Astyanax mexicanus: one gene and its partner. The protein of the gene in region 2 interacts with the protein of the main gene of each other region in a pairwise test. Links are inferred from orthologs where the notes say so. Each region holds a gene or a part of one and is shown on either strand. Other genes may lie near its edges.

What was found.
Region 1: the proteins of fam114a1 (region 2) and rab2a interact in binary tests that used the Homo sapiens proteins (3 or more experiments, as listed by UniProt). The two-hybrid records come from large-scale screens. The link is inferred for Astyanax mexicanus from reciprocal best matches to the Homo sapiens genes FAM114A1 and RAB2A.

The regions. Positions count from the first base shown.
Region 1 is NC_064425.1:41,316,308-41,325,163, forward strand, and holds the start of rab2a (ras-related protein Rab-2A), read left to right. Parts: upstream 1-4,698; 5' UTR 4,699-5,000; coding exon 5,001-5,046; intron 5,047-8,856.
Region 2 is NC_064432.1:6,772,127-6,781,551, forward strand, and holds the start of fam114a1 (protein NOXP20), read right to left. Parts: upstream 4,140-9,425; 5' UTR 4,045-4,139; intron 2,611-4,044; 5' UTR 2,605-2,610; coding exon 2,284-2,604; intron 1,099-2,283; coding exon 1,017-1,098; intron 1-1,016. UniProt on the Homo sapiens protein: May play a role in neuronal cell development.

The DNA of each region.
Region 1 (8,856 bases), on a different chromosome or scaffold from region 2:
ATATTGATTGTACATGTGTTACAGTGATCTGCCACATGAGCACACACACACTAACAAGATAATACTGCTAATATTGGCATTTAATTTACTGACAAAATGTATTTTATCTCAGAGAGACCTTTTAGTTAATAACAGGATCCTATGATGGAAAGTTGCTATTATAATAGAATTTGTGTGTGTGTGTGTGTGTGTGTGTGTGTGTGTGTTGTCCCATTGTCCCAGGTGAAATTGTAAAGGGCAGTTGAGCTCAATGTGTTCTGTAATCCCTCTGACCCACATTTACTAAAATTAAAAACTCATAATTGTGTAATTTCCCTCTTTCTCTAATGAGCTGTTAATTGGGTCGTTTTCCTCCCTAAAGGTTATAGTTTTACTACAGCACGAGATCACACTCAGATAACTCATACTAATCACAACCACATATCTAACATCTTAATGTGCACTCCTTTCAAATATCAGAAATAATATATGGCTTTTGCGCATGTGTATACCTGTATCTATAGTGCTATATAAAAGTTGAGAACCAGTTTACATTTAATGTTTTCCTTTACTCATTTTCTAAATTGTAGATTAATTAAAAAGACATGGAAACATTTAAGGGACACATATGGATTTATGTGGTAAACAGTAAAATAAGCGTTTATCCTCCACATGAATCCCCTGATCTAAAGCTGATGAACTGAGATGATAATTTGAGGTGATTTAAGTGGGATGAGCTGGAGCTTCACAGCGTGAAGAAAAAGCAGCAGCTATTGTTCAGCACCTCCAGAAACTCCTTCTTTCAAGACGCTGAGAAAAATATTTCAGGTGACTCTCCCTCATGAATACACTGAGATTAAAATCACACCAAGAGTGTGCAGATCTGTCCTTAAATATAAATGTGCTACTTGTAAGAACATATTCTGATTTGTTTAACACTTTTTACAGAAAAATGCTGCATGTGTTCCTGTAGAGCTTTAATATAGACGTCAATATTAAATTTACAATGTAAATTTGTGGTATATATATATATGACAAATATAAATATAATACACACATATATATATATATATATATATAGAGAGAGAGAGAGAGAGAGAGAGAGAGAGAAACAGAGAGAGTACTTCCAATTAATAATCCCATATCAATAATCAAATCATCAAATCAGTTCTCTTTAAAGCCTTCATATATAAAGCATTATAAGTGTATATGAAGACATATAAGTGTATAAATATATTTAAATAAATATAATATAAAATAAACATAACTGTCTAAATTAAAAATAAAAAGTAAGAATAACAAATTTGCAAAAATGTAGAAATGATTCATATATATGCCCATGCTGGTGAAGCAACTTGGTCTCACTGGTACAACATATAATAAGTGTGTATATAACATAAGTACATGTAATTACACTTTTGTATATATTTAAAGGTGAAAGAAGTGAAAGGAATAGGATCTGTCTGAAGGTGCAGCGCTGGCCTCTAGTGGACAATATAAAACACAGCACAGCTTTTAAAGGAGTGATTTTATACATATTAATAAAAACATGCATTAAAAACCTGATCACTATTAATAACACACATTTACTCTCAGAACACTTCACATTCATTATGATGAGTGTCTACACACCCCCATCTATGGACACACTCTCAGTCTTGCTGATACCTATAACACTATTTTGCACTAGTAGTTCATTCACAAGTTCATTCATCTACTGTTTACGTATCTGTCGCACTGCTAAATTTTAATTATTATATAACTGTGTATTTGCACTTTCTGTATGGCTGACATCAGTTATCCTCACTTTATGCACATCAGCTGGTGTTCACTGTATATTGTGTTCAACTGCACTACCTCCATTACACACACACACACACACACAAGACTGTACTTTTATACTTTTCATTTAATTTTTTTATTTCATTGTATTTATATGTATCGTTATATTTTATCTTTTTGTAACTTTGTGTACTATACATACCTGCTGCTGGATGCCTAGAATTTCCCCTTGGGGATCAATAAAGTATCTATCTATCTATCTATCTATGAACTAGTGCTGTCAAGGTTAACAAGTTAACACACAATTAATCTGTAAAATTAAACACATTCATTATTAATACATTAATCACATGACAACAATACATAAAACACATTAACAAAGCCTGGTAATGTATAATCGGTTTCATTCAGCCATGTAAACACAGCGTCAGTACTGTTCCGAGGTCAGTAGGTAGATTACTTTTTATTTAGGATTAAACAGGGCTCATTTCTATAGCAATAATAATTGTGACACAATATTTAAAAAATGTGATATTCATTTTCAACACATTTTCAATATTTGACTTGCATCTTGCATATCATTTGTTTTATTTTAAATCCAGTGTGATGGAATGCAGGCCAAAATCACAAATTGTCATTGTCTCACTGTACAAATATGTATGCGCCTAACTGTACTGTATCGACCAAGTATACTGTGATATAAAATCTTGTGAAATAAAATTTCAATGCTGAAGTATGGGTTAAATCACACACACACACTGCTTTTGAAACAATGAACCACATCATCCTTATCTCTCAGTTAGAGAGGTGTTGGTATTCAAGGCACCCCTTTAGAATGTTTTCTGTCCTATTTGTCTGACAGAAGTTGGTGATATTGTGAAAAACTCCAGCAAAATCGAAATCACCCACCTTAGCTTCTGTAATATATTTGCATTGTACTAAAATACATTAATATTCAATGGACATATACAGTGGTATGAAAAAGTCTGGGCACCCCTGATCATTTTTATGATTTTTCTTTATAAATCATTGGTTGTTTGGATCAGCTATTTCAGTTAAATATATCATACAGCAGATGAACACAGTGATATTTGAGAAGTGAAATGAAGTTTATAGGATTTACAGAAAGTGTGCAATAATTAATTAATTAAACTAAATTAGGCAGGTGCATAAATTTGAGCATCCCAACAGAAAATTTACATCAATATTTAGTATTTACTCTTTCTATAGCTTCCAATCAGATTCTGGCTTCTGGTTAAAGGTAAGCTTTCATCCTACAAAACATGGTCTTTGTTTCTCCTAAGGTTTCTTCCTCCTAATGTAAGGGAGTTTTTCGTTGCCACTGTCACCACAATTATTGGCATTACTGTGGTGCTGCTCATAAGAGGCTTACACCAGTTTTCTCTGTAAAGCTGCTTTGTGACAACTTTTGTTGTTAAAAAAAAGGCTATATAAATAAATTTGAATTGAATTAAACATTGTTTTCAAGAATCTGCTGATATTGACTGGAATCCATGTGATCCTCAACTTTAACAATATTCCCAGTTTCTGCACTGGTCCCACAACCCCACAGCATGATGAACCACCACCAGATTTTACTGTGGGGAGCAGTAAAGTGTTTGTGTTGAAATGCTGTGTTCTTTTTCCTCCATGCATAAATAACTGCCCTCTACATAATTTATTCCAAAATGAAGCTGGCTTGCCTAAATGTGCTTTAGCTTTATCTTTACCTCAAGCGACTCTGTTTGTGGCGCAGAAAAGGCTTCTTCTGCATTTCTCTCCCATACAGCCTCTCCTTGTGTAAAGTGCACTGAATAGTGAATAGTGAACGATGCACAGTGACTCCATCTGCAGCAGGATGATGATGTAGGTGTTTGGAGCTCTGGAGGTCTGTGGGTTGTCTATCTTCTCCTCTGTTTATCTGAGATTTTTCTTGTTCTGTCACTTCAGGTCTTAACTTGAACTGTGTCTGTGGTTCTTCCATTTCCTCACTCTGTTCCTCACAGTGGAAACTGCAGCTGAAATCTCTGAGATTTGAGCTTTTTGTATCCTTACTCTAAACACCATGATGTTAAACAATATTTGAGAGTTGTGTGTTTTGAGGCTCCCATGTTGCTGCTCTTCAGAAAAGATGCAAAGAGGAGGAAAACTTGCAATTGGCTCCTTAACCCTTTCTTATAATTGGATTCACCTGTGTATGTAGGTCAAGGGTCAGTGGGCTTACCAAACACATTTTGTGTTACAATAATTAGTGCTAAAGATATTCAAATCAATAAAATGACATGGGTTTGGTTTAAATTTGGTTTAAATAATTATTGCACACTTTCTGTTAATCCTATAACTTCATTTCACTTCATATCACTGTGTTCATCTGCTATATGATATATTTAACTGAAATTGCTGTTCAGAACAACCAATGATTTATAAAGAAAAATCATGAAAACAATCAGGGGTGCCCAAACTTTTTAATACCACTGTATGCAGCTGAAACAGGGAGCCGAGTGCATCCCAAATTTATAAACTTTAACATTTTATTATAACATTAAAGTCATTATGGCTTTTAGACAAATGTGTTTTGGGGAGGAGGGGGATTAGAGCACTATAGGACTCTAGGAAGCGGCCTAAGCTTTTGTTCTTACTAGCTTTATTTTTTCCTCTTATATTACTTTTACTTTTATACTTTAAGTAGTTTTGAAAACAGTACATTTACACTTTTACTTAAATAGTAAAAAGCTTGAGTTAATACTTCAACTTCTACAGAAGTATTTTAAACCCTAGTGTCTATACTTCTACCTACGGATACTTTTCACACCTTTGTTTATCTTTAAAAATCTGACAAAAAAACAAGGTACAGGTAGTTCGTATGTGCGTGCGCGTGCTCGTGCCTGCGCTCTCCACTGCTCGTGCTCGCGCTCGCTGGTCTGCTCGCTCTCGTGCAGTTCCGGTTGCGTGGCGGAGGCGGTCTGTGTGACGCAGCAGCTGCTGGAGCTCCGGGACGCTCGGCTGTTTTTATTGTTCCTTTAATAAAAGCGACGCGCAGAGAGAAACAACAGAGCCGCAGAGATAGAGAGAATAGAGAGAGAAAAGAGAGAGAGAGAGAGAGAGAGAGAGAGAGAGAGGGATAGAGGGAGAAAAGAGGAGAAACACAGAGAGAGAAAGAGAGAGAGAGAGGAGAGCTCTGTGTTCTGCTGGAGAAAGCTGCTGCTGCTGCTGCTGCTGGGCTGTATTAGCGGAGGGCGATGGCGTACGCGTACCTGTTTAAATACATCATCATCGGGGACACGGGTAAGATCTTAACACTCCCTTACTGCCTCACTCACTCCTCTACTCACCCCTCGGATCACTCCCGGGGTGAGACATGGGCTCACAGTGGAGAAAACGGGGTGATTATTGCTCCTACTTGAGCTGTTTGCTTGTTTTTTTTTAAAACGTGTTACACCGAAAACTGCAGCTGCCGAATTGTGTGACCCTAGAGGGTGCTGTTCTGCTATATCCGAGTTCCTTACGCAGACTACGTAAGTTAGCTATTTAAAAGAGTCGGATATGCTATATTAATAACAACATGATAAAAAATTGTTGTTTAAAGAATTTTGCATCACAAGTACAAGCCAAAAAAAATTGAAAAAAAAGATTGAAAAAAATCAATACAAATAAAAGATTATTACATTAGGATTAGGATGTGATAATAAAAAATTATGCATTTAGATATAATACAAAAACGACAAGAAGACAGACGAACTAGTACAGTACTAGTCAAGCCCAAAAGTAAAATAAATATATGTTTTAAAAATGTTTAAACATATTAACTAAAGATTTTGGTATTCCAGATCTATTATAATGTTGTAAGTCACTCGTAAAGCACTTTTAAAGAATGTGACAGAAGTGCAAATTAAGCAAAAAAAGGTATAGGTTTATTAATGGATTGATTGATTGGATGATTAAATAAAAAATAAAAATATTTTATGTGAAGAATTGAGAGGAAAATCTTTTTATAACATCCACAAGAAGCAGACTATCATACTTTAAATTATATTAACAATAAAAACTAACAAAAAATAAATATTGCATTTGTATCGTTTTATCATTTTATTGGATGTTTTTATTGTTATATTTTAATTGTTGTTTTTCCTCTGTTAAAGTGCAGACAGGCTTAATCATAAGGGGTTACCGATTCTGACAGCGGCCTTTACGTGGACAGAATTCGGCAGATCACAGATTTCGGTGTAACACGTAGGTTAGAAAATTGACGTGTAGAAGGAAAAATAAGCAACCTAAATTTGGGTGGGTTACACATTTTAACAGTAAAACACGCGTTTAAACAAACTGCACGGCTGTCAGAGTGGGACATCAGTGAAAACTGGGTGAAATTAGGTGTTATTTACTGCCTGCTTTATTTCAGACTGGGTGGGGGAAGGAGTTAGCCAGCATGCTAACGTTGACTAGCGCAGTCTGTCAGATTCTGCGCTAACAGAATATAGAGAAATGTAGTATAAAAACATATACACACATCTTTAGACCCGTTTTCCTGGGTTTAAGCAGATATTTATGTGCGTGTCTGTCAGAAACTGCCTGTTTATGGCTTCGTGTGTGATGCTAAGCTAACGTTAGCACCGCTAGCTAATCGCTAGTTTAGGCCACAGTGGCAGTATTTAGCTTTAGCATTAGCTTAGCGTTAGCCTGTCTGTCAGCAGATGTGTGTGAAAATGGCGTTTAGTGAGTCTGGCTTTCAGATGTGCGGCTCAGATCTTCTCAACAGGCTTTATTTATCAGCTCAGATGATGTGGAAGTGTAGGTGAGACTCTGAGGGATGGGGAAACGCTGATTCCCCGGGTCTGACTGTGGGGAGGATCTGTAAGGAGATGCCAGGCAAGGCCCTGCCAACCTGGACTGGCACTGGTTCTCCTCACTAGGGCTGTACGATATGAGCAAAAATTCATATCCCAATACAGTACATTTCATATCCTGATATACACGATATATACTACCACTCAAAAGTGTCTTTTACCACACAAAAGTGGTTATTTTTTCTTTTCATGTTTTTTTACATTGTACATTTTTTAAGACAGTTTGAAGACTGTCAGTAAAGATATATAGGAACACATGCTGAATTAGTAGCACATTTATCTTTGAGGACAGATCTTTAATCTCAGTGTCTTCATGAGGGAGAATCACCTGGAATAGTTTTCACAGCGTCTTGAAGGAGTTCCTGGAGGTCCTGAATCTTAAGCTCAACTCAAATCACCATCTCAGATGATCAGGTTTAGAATAGGGGATTGTGGAGGACTAACACTTTTTTGCTGTTTACCATGTCATTCCGTACATGTTTTCCCTTCTTTTTATGTATTTAATATTAATCTACAATGCAGAAAACCTTGTAGAAAAAACGTAGAATAGGAGGGTGTGTCCAAAAATTTGACTGGTACTGTATATCACGATATATCACATATACTGATATAACACTCAGAAAAAAGTATGTTTTCAGATTTTATTGTATTTTTATAAAATATTTTATTGTATTTTGTATAAAATAGTGATGCACAATGGTATCAGAATTAAATCGATTTCGGATAATAATTACTTCCTCTCTTTTTATAATCGGCATCAGCCGGTTTGGCCGATATTTCAGCCCAGTATTTTTTTGTTTTTAAAAAGGTAAAAAGTTTAAGTTTAAAGCTGTGAACAGACTATGTAAGGACCAGTTAGCTAAATACATTTGAAACCCAGAAAAATGTGAAACCCAAAATATGAAAGCAAATTTTTCATTTTATTGTTTGCATTCAGTTAGATTAAGGCTACAATGCAAAGCAAATGAATGTTACGTTTGTTCCTAGAGGTATACCGGAGTGTTTAGACTGTTAATAATAAATGTGTATATCTGAATTAGTTTTGGAAGATATATACATGTGTAACATCGAATATCTGCATCTGCCCAGAATTCATACATTGTTGCATTCATATTTTCAACTACACTGAAATTGTGCATCTAAATTACAGTCAGCATCATGAGTCAAATCACTTTTATATCATTTCCCTGACCTGCACATATTCCAGAACTCATCTGCTTTAACTCACCCTCCTTCCCTAAAAGCAGGTATTAATGATCTGATTAGTTGATCAAGTGTATTTGGAGCAGGAAAATCTCAAAGTGTGCAGGACAAAAATGATCAGGATAGAGAAACTGTTCTTTGAAGACAGAAGTTCATACTGAAATTCTTTAACTTAATTTAACTTAATTCAAGCCTGCAGAAACATGATGCAGTAGTGGTGTATATGTGATGTAAAGTGTCCCAATTTCGATCTCAACACTATTGCCACCCTATTATTTCCTATATGGCAACATCATTGAAGTGTACATCTCAAAGAAGACGTTAGGGTTTGGTGCAAGAATTAGGACAGAGTACATCGCTAATGCTAACACCGCATATTTAGTGCAGTAAAATGCTACATGGCACCATTCTGTGGTCACCCAAGTAACGTAAAGCCTGCAATAAAGTGTGTATTTTGTGACGTAATACTAAATGATGGATGTTTTTCGATGGTCACACACAATATATCATATCGCACAACCCTAACTGGCTCGTGAGGCTCAAGATGAAGTAAATTACAGGGTGGTTTAAATGGGGATTCTATATATTTTAGGTTAAAGTAAATTTAGATACATCGGAAGTACATAGGAACATCTAAAAATTGCTGGGTGTTTATGGTATGTTCATATGTTCAAATGTAGTGCTAATAGTTTAAGTGTTAGAAGTTGGTCTTGCTGTGTTCCATTCAAAATTGAATGTCAGCACTTCTGATTCAGTTCCAATTGAAAATTTTCTGCTCAAAAAGTCAAGAAAATATGACCAACCCTAAGTTTAGAATCAACGGTGGCTGCCTTGTAGTAGTAAAAGTTGTAGTATTATACAGTTGATCACTTCTGTCTGTTAAAGTACTGCCCTACTACTACTTGGAGATGTTTCAAGGCTGCTTCACACAAGAAACATTAAATATTGTATAATGTGTCGTAGGGGTGGGCAATATTATATCGTATACAATATATCGTGACACAGAAATATTATGATATTAAAAATCCATATTGTGATAATAGGGCTG
Region 2 (9,425 bases):
TCCTAGCTAACTAACCACAGCTAGCTAACCCTAGCTAACTAACCCTAGCTAATTAACCCTAACTAATTAATCCTAGCTAATTTACCCTAGCTAAATTACCCTTAGCTAATTAACCCTAGCTAGCTAACCCAGCTAACTAATCCTAGATAACAACCCTAGCTAGATAACCCTAGCTAATTAGCTAATTTAGATCATTTACCCTAGCTAAATTACCCTAGCTAATTAACCCTAGCTAGCTAACCCAGCTAACTAATCCTAGATAACCAACCCTAGCTAGATAACCCTAGCTAATTAAACCTTAGCTAACTAAACCTAGCTAACTAACCTTAGCTAACCCTAGCTATCTAACCCTAGCTACCCAACCCTAGCTACCTAGCTCTAGCTAGCTAACCCATCTAACTAACCCTAGCTAACTAACCCTAGAACTTAATGAAGTTAGCAGCTAATGAACAATTAGTAGATACTAAATAATTAGTAGTAACTGAAATTACTACGTATTGAACTATTAGAAGATACTGAATAATTACTACTAACTGAATAGCTAATAGATACTGAATAATTACTACTTATTGAATCCTTACTAAATACTATATATTTAATACCTACTGAATAGTTCATATAGACTGAATAATAATTTTTGGTAGATACTAAAGCGTTAGAACTTACCAAACAATTAGTCGCTAATGTATAATTAGTAGATACTAAATAATTTGTACTTGGTTAGGAGCTACTGAATAATCAGTACTTATTGAAACATTATAATATATTGAATAGTTATGTATGTAAACTATTCAAATCAATATGTATGTAAATTAAGGAATTAAGGAGTTACTAGATAATAAGTAATTATCAGTGAGCTAGTAGTAGTGAAAAATGAGTATATACTGAAAGAGTGTGGATGGTTTAGAGGAAAATGGGATTTTATCACTAGGCGGTTCTCCAAGACAGATGGAGCCACTGTGTGTGTTACTATAGTAACAGATCTATGACCACAGGGTTGCTATGGGGTGACTCACCTACTGTAGATGTGGCGCTGGTCAGTAAAGATTTGCCCCAGGAGCTCCATCCACCCCAACCTTTAGACTGCGAGTCTGAGGTCTGGCAACAAAAACACACACACACACACAATCCATTACAGTGATGCTTTTAGAATCTTTCCCTCAAATATAACCACTTAGCCAAAACACATCTATAATCGTAAATATACTTTAGCAGCTCCATTCTAAACATACATTTACCTAAGTACAGCTATTCTAATCAGACACTTACCTCTATTCTATTTATAAATGTACCTCATTAGTGCTATGAACGTCAATGTAATTAAAATGTACAAAGAGAAAGTAAGTTGTAAGTTATCTAGCTTATCTATTTATCATTCTAGACCTGTACAGCTCGCATCTTTCAGCTGAAAAACAGCCAGCTTGTAAAGTGAAGAGTTGAAAAGAACAGAGTTGATGGATATTAAGCGTGATAAGTGACGCTGAATGCTTGATTTAAGTTGAGAATAAAAAATAATAATAATTTGCTGTTTCTCTGCTATCTTTGGCGGCTCTCTCCCTGCGAGCTGAGCAGCTATAAAAACAGATCTGATATGCAGTGCTACTATTGTTAAATGAAACATTGAATTATGGCTGTAAAGAAAAAAATATGTTTTTAGGTAAAAATTATTATTATAATTTTTTTTTTACAGAACACAGAAAAACTATTTTTTAATTTTCAGACAAAGGTTGCTAAAGATTTGGTGCATCCCTGTAGAGCTATTAAATTTATTAGAAACTACTCAACTACACAGCTAATTTGTGTACATCAGCTTCCATTATCTGTTAGCTATATTAGCCTTGTAGCTTCGGTATAGAACTAAAGAAGCAAAATTCAAATATTAGGTGTGTCTAAGCTTACTTATTAAGTTATAATTCCCTAAAAGAATTAAATCTTCAAACTAATCTATATCTCATCTCATCTAACACATCTATATTTACAGTTCCGATACATCAGCTCACAGATGCCTTGTGTTGATCAACATCACCCTAGAAGTGATGTGGGAAAAGAGCATAATCTATCCACCCAGAGAGAAAAAGGCCAATTGTGCTCTCGGGGCTCCGGCAGCCAATGGCAAGCTGCATGACCGGGATTCGAGCCAGCGATCTCTCTATCATAGTGGCAGCGCTTTAGTTTGCTGGACCACCTGGTGCCCTAACCTTGTGTTTTGTGGCATCTACGGGATCACTCAAATAACCATTAAAAGCTCCTTCATTTCTAAAAGTGGACCCAAAACAATTGTACCTCTTCCTCAGCTTCAGCAGGAACATCTGGCTCCAAGCTCACTGATTCGCCACATTCCATCATGTGATCCCCGGTGCTTTCTGCTGACTGGCCCTGTGTAGGATCTTCAGGCTGAGTGGCTAAATCATGCTTCTCCACATCTTCACCGGTTGCTTCTGGCTCTGGTGCGGCCAGTGACAGCGGGGGAGCAGATGGTGGCTCATCTGTATTAGTTTCAGGTGCAGATTTGGGGGTCTGTTTATCTGAAGACGTCTCGAAGAGAGGAGGGTCGGGATGTGTGGACGTGTCTCCCACTTCTGCCGCTACGTCCTCTTGTGACATGGTGTTCTGAAAGTAAGGGAAGGATGTAAATACAAAAATATTTACAGTATGGCGTCACACCAATGTCAAAAGTCGTCAAATGTCAAAAATGAACTGTGTGTAAATGAACTTCTCGTGAGCACAAATGTGAAACTAGCAAGCAAAAAAAAAAGAAAATCATGTGCACGCTGAAGAAAATGTTGCTCTCTTTTTTATGGTAAGATTCATTTGTTCAATTATTTTTGAGCCCCTGAAATAAAGAGACTGTATAGAAAAAGGGATGTAATTCGTAAACACTTTATACACAGCAAAATTTAGCGTTACATTAACTATTTAAGTGTTACATTTAACACTGTCCTAGATCACATATGGTCGCACTTACTATAGTGTTAAAATAACTCTACCACAAGAGTTACAATTTAATTTAGTTAATTCAACATTGGATAGAGTCAGATATTGACTCTATGTAATTCTCATCAGTGTTAACGCATTTTACCTCACAGGGGTTAATTTATTTATTTTTAATTTGTTTTTGTATATTTTCTGAACTTCACCCAAAAGCATATACCAGAGTATCTATAAAACATTATAAAATGTGAGCTATACCACAGAATAAATATTTTTTATATATATACACACATAAACCCTATGTCCAATATCAAGTAGTTATTTTAATTACATGGCCAATAGATTGAATTTTAGATTATGGATGTGACTAAGCTTTATAGAACAGTCTGACTAACTGGCTGGATCAAAGGTTCTTTTAAGCAATACAATCACAGCCTTGTGTGTGTGTGTGTGTGTGTGTGTGTGTGTGTGTTGACACACAGCTTTGTTGTCCATTACACCACCCACTCTTCTGCTTCAATAGCTTCTATTCAACTTGGCTTACAGCGCCATCTAGAGGCTGGTCAATGAAACCACACCCCATCTCCACCATCTCAACTAAACTCAACCAAAGCCTAAGCTTTTCTGAAAATTAAAATGCATAGTAAATGAGAGCATTTAAAACAAGATACACCGGTAATAAAAACGAAATCTAAACAACAGAACCGGATTATACAGATGCTGACAGAGACAATTAGCTACAAAGCATCAATATAAAGTTTTTAACAACATAAAATATTAAACTTCACCTAAATGTTCACTATTCTAAAACGACTCGGACCAGTCCTGCTGTTTTCCTGCAGATCAGCTACTCTGGAGCTTATCATCATTATCACCATCCTCCTTATAATGAAGCTAAACTTCATATTAATAATAATAATAAGAGTGAGCTGAGCTCTGCAGACAGTGGGACAGCCCAGCTCAGCAGGACTGACTCCAGCAGCAGCAGCAGGAGGATGTAACGCAGCATGTACTCTTCTTTAACCCGCCGCTGTGCAGTAAACAGGGTTAAAAGCAGGTAAAGGAATAAATCAGGATTAATCAGTTCTGTGTTTAAAGCGCTGCTGATCTTACCGGTGTCGCTCTCGCAGCGCTGTTGCTCTTTCCGCCCAGGCGCGAGCCACGTCGGCAGCGGACCACGTGCCGCGAACGAACCGTGACGTCACCCAAAACTTTTGGAACATAATCATAATAATAGAAGACAGCTTGAACATATACATTAGTAAAAAAAAAATAACGACAAAATATTAACAAGAGGCAAAAGTAATTTCGTCATAATTTTTTACAGTTTCTAAACATATATTATTTTTAGTTGTTCTGAATATTCATCAGTCAATTAGAAAAGAAATATAAAATTTTGGCATTAAAGTCAAATATTTACACTTGTGAATAAAGTATGTGTCAATTGGAAATATTTTTTTTTGGGGGGAAAAAATAAAAATAAAAAAATTATTCAACACAAAGAAGCTGCTAAAACAATAAATGCACTTTAATTAATTAAAATTAATTATTATGGCGCCGAGTGGTCCAGCGGTCTAAAGCGCTGCCACTATGAGCAGGAGGTCGCCGGTTCGAACCCCAGCTCATGCAGCTTTGCCATCAAGCTGCCGGCGTCAGAGGGAGCAAAATTGGCCCTGCTCCCTCTGGGTGGGTAGATGGCGCTCTCTCCCCACATCACTCCTACGGGGATGTCTGCAGCACAGGGCGTCTGTGAGCTGATGTACTGGAGCCGAGCCGCTGCGCTTTCCTCCAAGCGCGCTGGCTGCTCGGTAATGCTGCATCAGCAGCAGCTCGAAAAGAAGCGGTGGCTGACTTCACATGTATCGGAGGAAGCATGTGCTAGTCTTCACCCTCCTGGTGTGTTGAGGTATCACTAGTGATAGGGGGAGTCCTAATGAATGGGTTGGGTAATTGGCCGTGTAAATTGGGGAGAAAATGGGAAAAAATTAGAAATAAAATTATATATAAAATTAATTATTATTTTTTTATCTTTCTCTTACAATGCTGTTTTTGTACATCACAATATGAATGATATTGTCTATTTTAAATAAATAAATAAATGGTAGTTAAAATTGCACCATATTAAATATTTTTTTATTGTTGAAATTCAATGCGATATTAATTTCATTGAAAACGATATGCATTTGCCTACTTTATAAAAAATAAATAAATAAATAAATAAATAAGGTTTCATTTTGCCATTTAAGACTGTTGATTTTATTTAGATTTAAATATTCATTATTAAAAACTTAAGAAGAAGAAAAGGTGCACGTAATTGTGATTAATCGATTCATTTTTTAATCGACTGACAGCACTAGTAAAAAAAAAAAAACCTTTACAGGCATATAAGCCTGCAGTTCCAGTCTGTAATGGTAATTAAACGCATTTAAACAGCTATTTTTTAATTGTGGTTGTTTTTTTCTAAATGCTGATTGGTTGAGCTGAGTGGGTGGTGTATTTAAAGTGTATCTTAATATATCAGTTGTGTATATGATCCATTTATCATAGAAGTATCCTGTGCGTTAGTTCAGCTCCAGTATTGTGGTGTTACTGCAGCTCAACGCTGTCCGTCCGGCTCGTTGGTCTAGGGGTATGATTCTCGCTTAGGGTGCGAGAGGTCTCGGGTTCAAATCCCGGACGAGCCCTGCATTTTTTTATATGTTTAAGTTAGAATGAATCATGTTATTTTATTAAACAGCCAGCGGAACAAACTGAAGCTGATAGTGTTTATAGTGTTTTTGAGACACAGGACGACGTGCATTTCCGATATTTATCTTTATAAATAACAATAAGGAAGGTCTAACCATATTTAAATTCAGAAATCCTTTATGTGTGTACAGAGCTTTAAAGTCCAATAATCCAGTCAAGTGTCTTTTTTGAAAACAGAAGACACACAATGTTTATTGATAACAGGGTTACAACTAATTATTTAGGAAATAAAACAAATTTAGTAATTTCTTTTAATGACTGCCTTTTTATTATTCAAGATGTATTGTGTCACACATTAGCCTGTGTCTGTCCTGTGTTTTTCCCTCTTTTGGTTTTCTGTGCTCCTGCCCTGTTTTCCTGTCTTGTGTTCCCAGTCATGTGCTTTTGAGCATATGGCATTGTTTTGTTATGGTCCAGTCTCCACCCTAGCCCCGCCCTAGCCCTGCCCTAGTCATTAGTGTTAACACCTTGGCTGTGACCGAAATGGCTCCCTATTTACTAGTTAGGGCACTATTGAGTATGTCAGCCATTTTTCTTTGAGTGTCCGAATCTTAAGGGGGGGGGGGGTTCGAACGTGATTTTGAGGGCACTAAAAACTCCTATAATGCATCATGATTTATAGTAAACTTCGCTGCTTAATGCATTGCGGTTCTCGCTACTAAGCAACAGACAGCCGAAGAAACGGAGCGGACAGCGAGCCACCAGGGTTGCAGATAAAACCAGATAAAACCAATTCACTGGGTAAAACGTGTTTCAGATCCACACATTTACTGAGAAAACACCCAAACAGCTGATATTCGTCATATTAACAATATTACAGGGTTTATTCCAACATGATCTTAACTAAAATATCATAAATATCTTAAATATCACTGATTACAAAAAATGATATTTAAATGAGTATATCTGCATATTTGTATTGTGTTTTGTTCCTTGTATCATTGGACACACGAAACAAAAACGTAAAAACAGTATATAAAAACAACCTCGCAAGCAATGAAAGAAAAAAAATAACTTACTCACATTTAATCACAAACATAAACACAACTTCAAATTTCCATCAGCAGGACTCTTGCGGGTTAGATATCTAACTACAACACCGCCGAGTTAAATTTCCAAACTCTTTACACTTGGTAGTTTTGTTCACCTGTCAAATCACAGCGTTTCCTCCTGACAATTTCTGACACAACTCGACATTTGGCATGAAACCACCCAATCTGGCAACAGTGCGAGCCGGTGTACGCTGCTATTTTTAAGAGTTTCTTCATGTAGTTCAGTAATGTCAGGATCATCTTTTAAACAGCGTAAATATAACAAGCAGATAAATAACTTCATGATCAGCTCAGAGCTTCACTAACTTTAATTTAGAGCTCAGTTCAGTGAGTCACCTGTGTGTGTTTATGCGACCGGTGCTGGCGCATGATAATGATGAGTTAATGTCCGAATTCACTCCTGTTTTACCACTAATTAGTGAACTTATTAGTATCTCCCTACATAGCGCAACACTAATGAGGGAGTAGGGAGCCATTTCGGTGTCTCATTTGTAACTCCGCCCCCTCATTACCTCCACAGGTGTCCCTAGTGTGTGCCTGTGTATAAATACCCCATGCTCCTTTGTTCTTTGTCCTGCTATTTGTTTGATGCCGTCCTGTTCAACTGTGTCTGGATGTTAATCTGTGTTTTTGTCTACAGAGTTCAGTTTTGGTTTCTTAATAGTGTTTGTTTCTTTGATAGTTTATTTGTTTGTTTTGACCTGGTTTAGTAATTTGTTTTATAGTCTTTGTTTTATAGTCTTAGCGTTTATTTTTTTTTTATCCTAGTTATTTGTTTATCTTATTATGTCAAATAAAACCAACTTGAATTTGCATCCGGCCTCGTCCTCCGTGTTACATATTGAAAACAATTCAATTACCCCTGTTCAGTTAAACGAAAAATTACATAGGCATGAATAAATAAATCCACATATAAATTAATTTAAAAAAAAATTATTTTATTTCTGTATTTCTGCATTTGTATGTTAATAAGGTAGGCGGTCCTAAAGCAGGATAGGGCAACTCGTGAATCAGAAAGGAGTAACCGGTTTCTAACTACTCTAACGTATATTAATATATGTTAATAATATATATAATTTAGGTCTGAATTTTCTTCTTTTATAAATAATAATAATAATAATAATAATAATAATAATAATAATAATAATAATAAAAACATTCTTGTTTGCAGTTTTTAAATCAACAAAGCAACAGTTTTACAAAGAATTTAGAGAGAAAATTTTTAAATAAAGAATAAAATAAAGAATGACACAAAGATTATCACCATATTATTATAATGTGCATTATTTAGTAAAAGAGAGATCCAGGGCGTCTATCTGCTCAAGCAGCTCAAAAACAGCAACTGCAAGAACTGCCTTTAAAGCCTGAAGAGCATTGTGATTCTGGCAACACTTGGCAGAAGTCCAAAACGATTTCCTGTAAAAATAAAAGTCCCCCTAAAATGTAACAGAAATCAGTTTTGAGGCTGTAAATTAAATAATATGAACTAGTTTAATAATATTTACAGTTTAAAACTAATTAAAACCTTTTCAAAACTTTTAAACACGTTTAAATAACGTAGATATTAAAAGAAAAATAAGAAATTGTACTAAAGCTAGTGTTGCTAGGTAATACAGTTTTGCGCTGGCAATTTGATTATTTATTTGTCCTGTGGTGAAGGCGCAGACGCAAATCGAACAAAAAAAAATGCAGACTGCGCAGGGCCTCATGAAGTCCAACAAGCCTGAAAAACGAATAGAGCAAACAACCGGCAATCATACTGCTCAGGGCTGAGTTGAAGCATAAACTGTAGCTTCTTGGTGAGTCACATTAAAAATGGCATAGTTGTTTGTTAGAATTGTTCAGTGATTATTGTACATATGCATACAGTTTAGAACATTACATTAATTATTATTATATATTTTTTGAGAAATATTATTTAAAGAGTGCTGTAAAAAGAGCTTCACTGCTGAGCCCTTCACCATGATCACACTTAATAATGGTGAAAACTGACTCAGCAGAGCCCCCTGCCGGTGAAGCGGCGTCTCTATCAGAAGCTCAGCCTCGCGCTGGTGTGCTCGTGAGAGGGGCGGCGCTGTCAGCCAAGAACGAAAGAGAATGTATCTGTAGGTACGCGTGAGCGCGAGGTGAGTAAAAACACTTTTAAACAGCCTTTCTGTAGCGTTTTACTAAGTGAATAAAGGCAGATTATGTCTCTGTCTCTCCATTAGATACTAGTTCAATTGGGAAAATATCAAATAAATAACAAATAATCCACAGATTTGTTTCAAAATATTCTTTGTTGTTATTGTGAACTCTACCCAGTTCCTGGTTGGAAGGAACAAAATGGCACAACAGTAAAATGGCTGTTCTCCTGTGTGGACTGTGCTGTGTTTATACAGAGTTAAAATGTTCTATATTATACATTTACTGATAAACACAGACAAAGGTGTCAGAAGTATTTAATTTTTTTACTCTGTAGGTAGAAATATAGATACTAGTGTTAAAAATACGTCTGTATAAGTTGAAGTATCAACTCAAGCTTCTTACTCTTTAAGTAAAAGTGTAAAAGTACTTTAAAACTTAAAACTTGTAAAACTACTTATAGTATAAATATAAAAGTAATATAAAGGGAAAATTCCATTAAGGGATTAAGCTTAGGCCGTGCCACAGAGTCCTATAGTGCACTACCCACCCATCCCCAAAACACTTTTT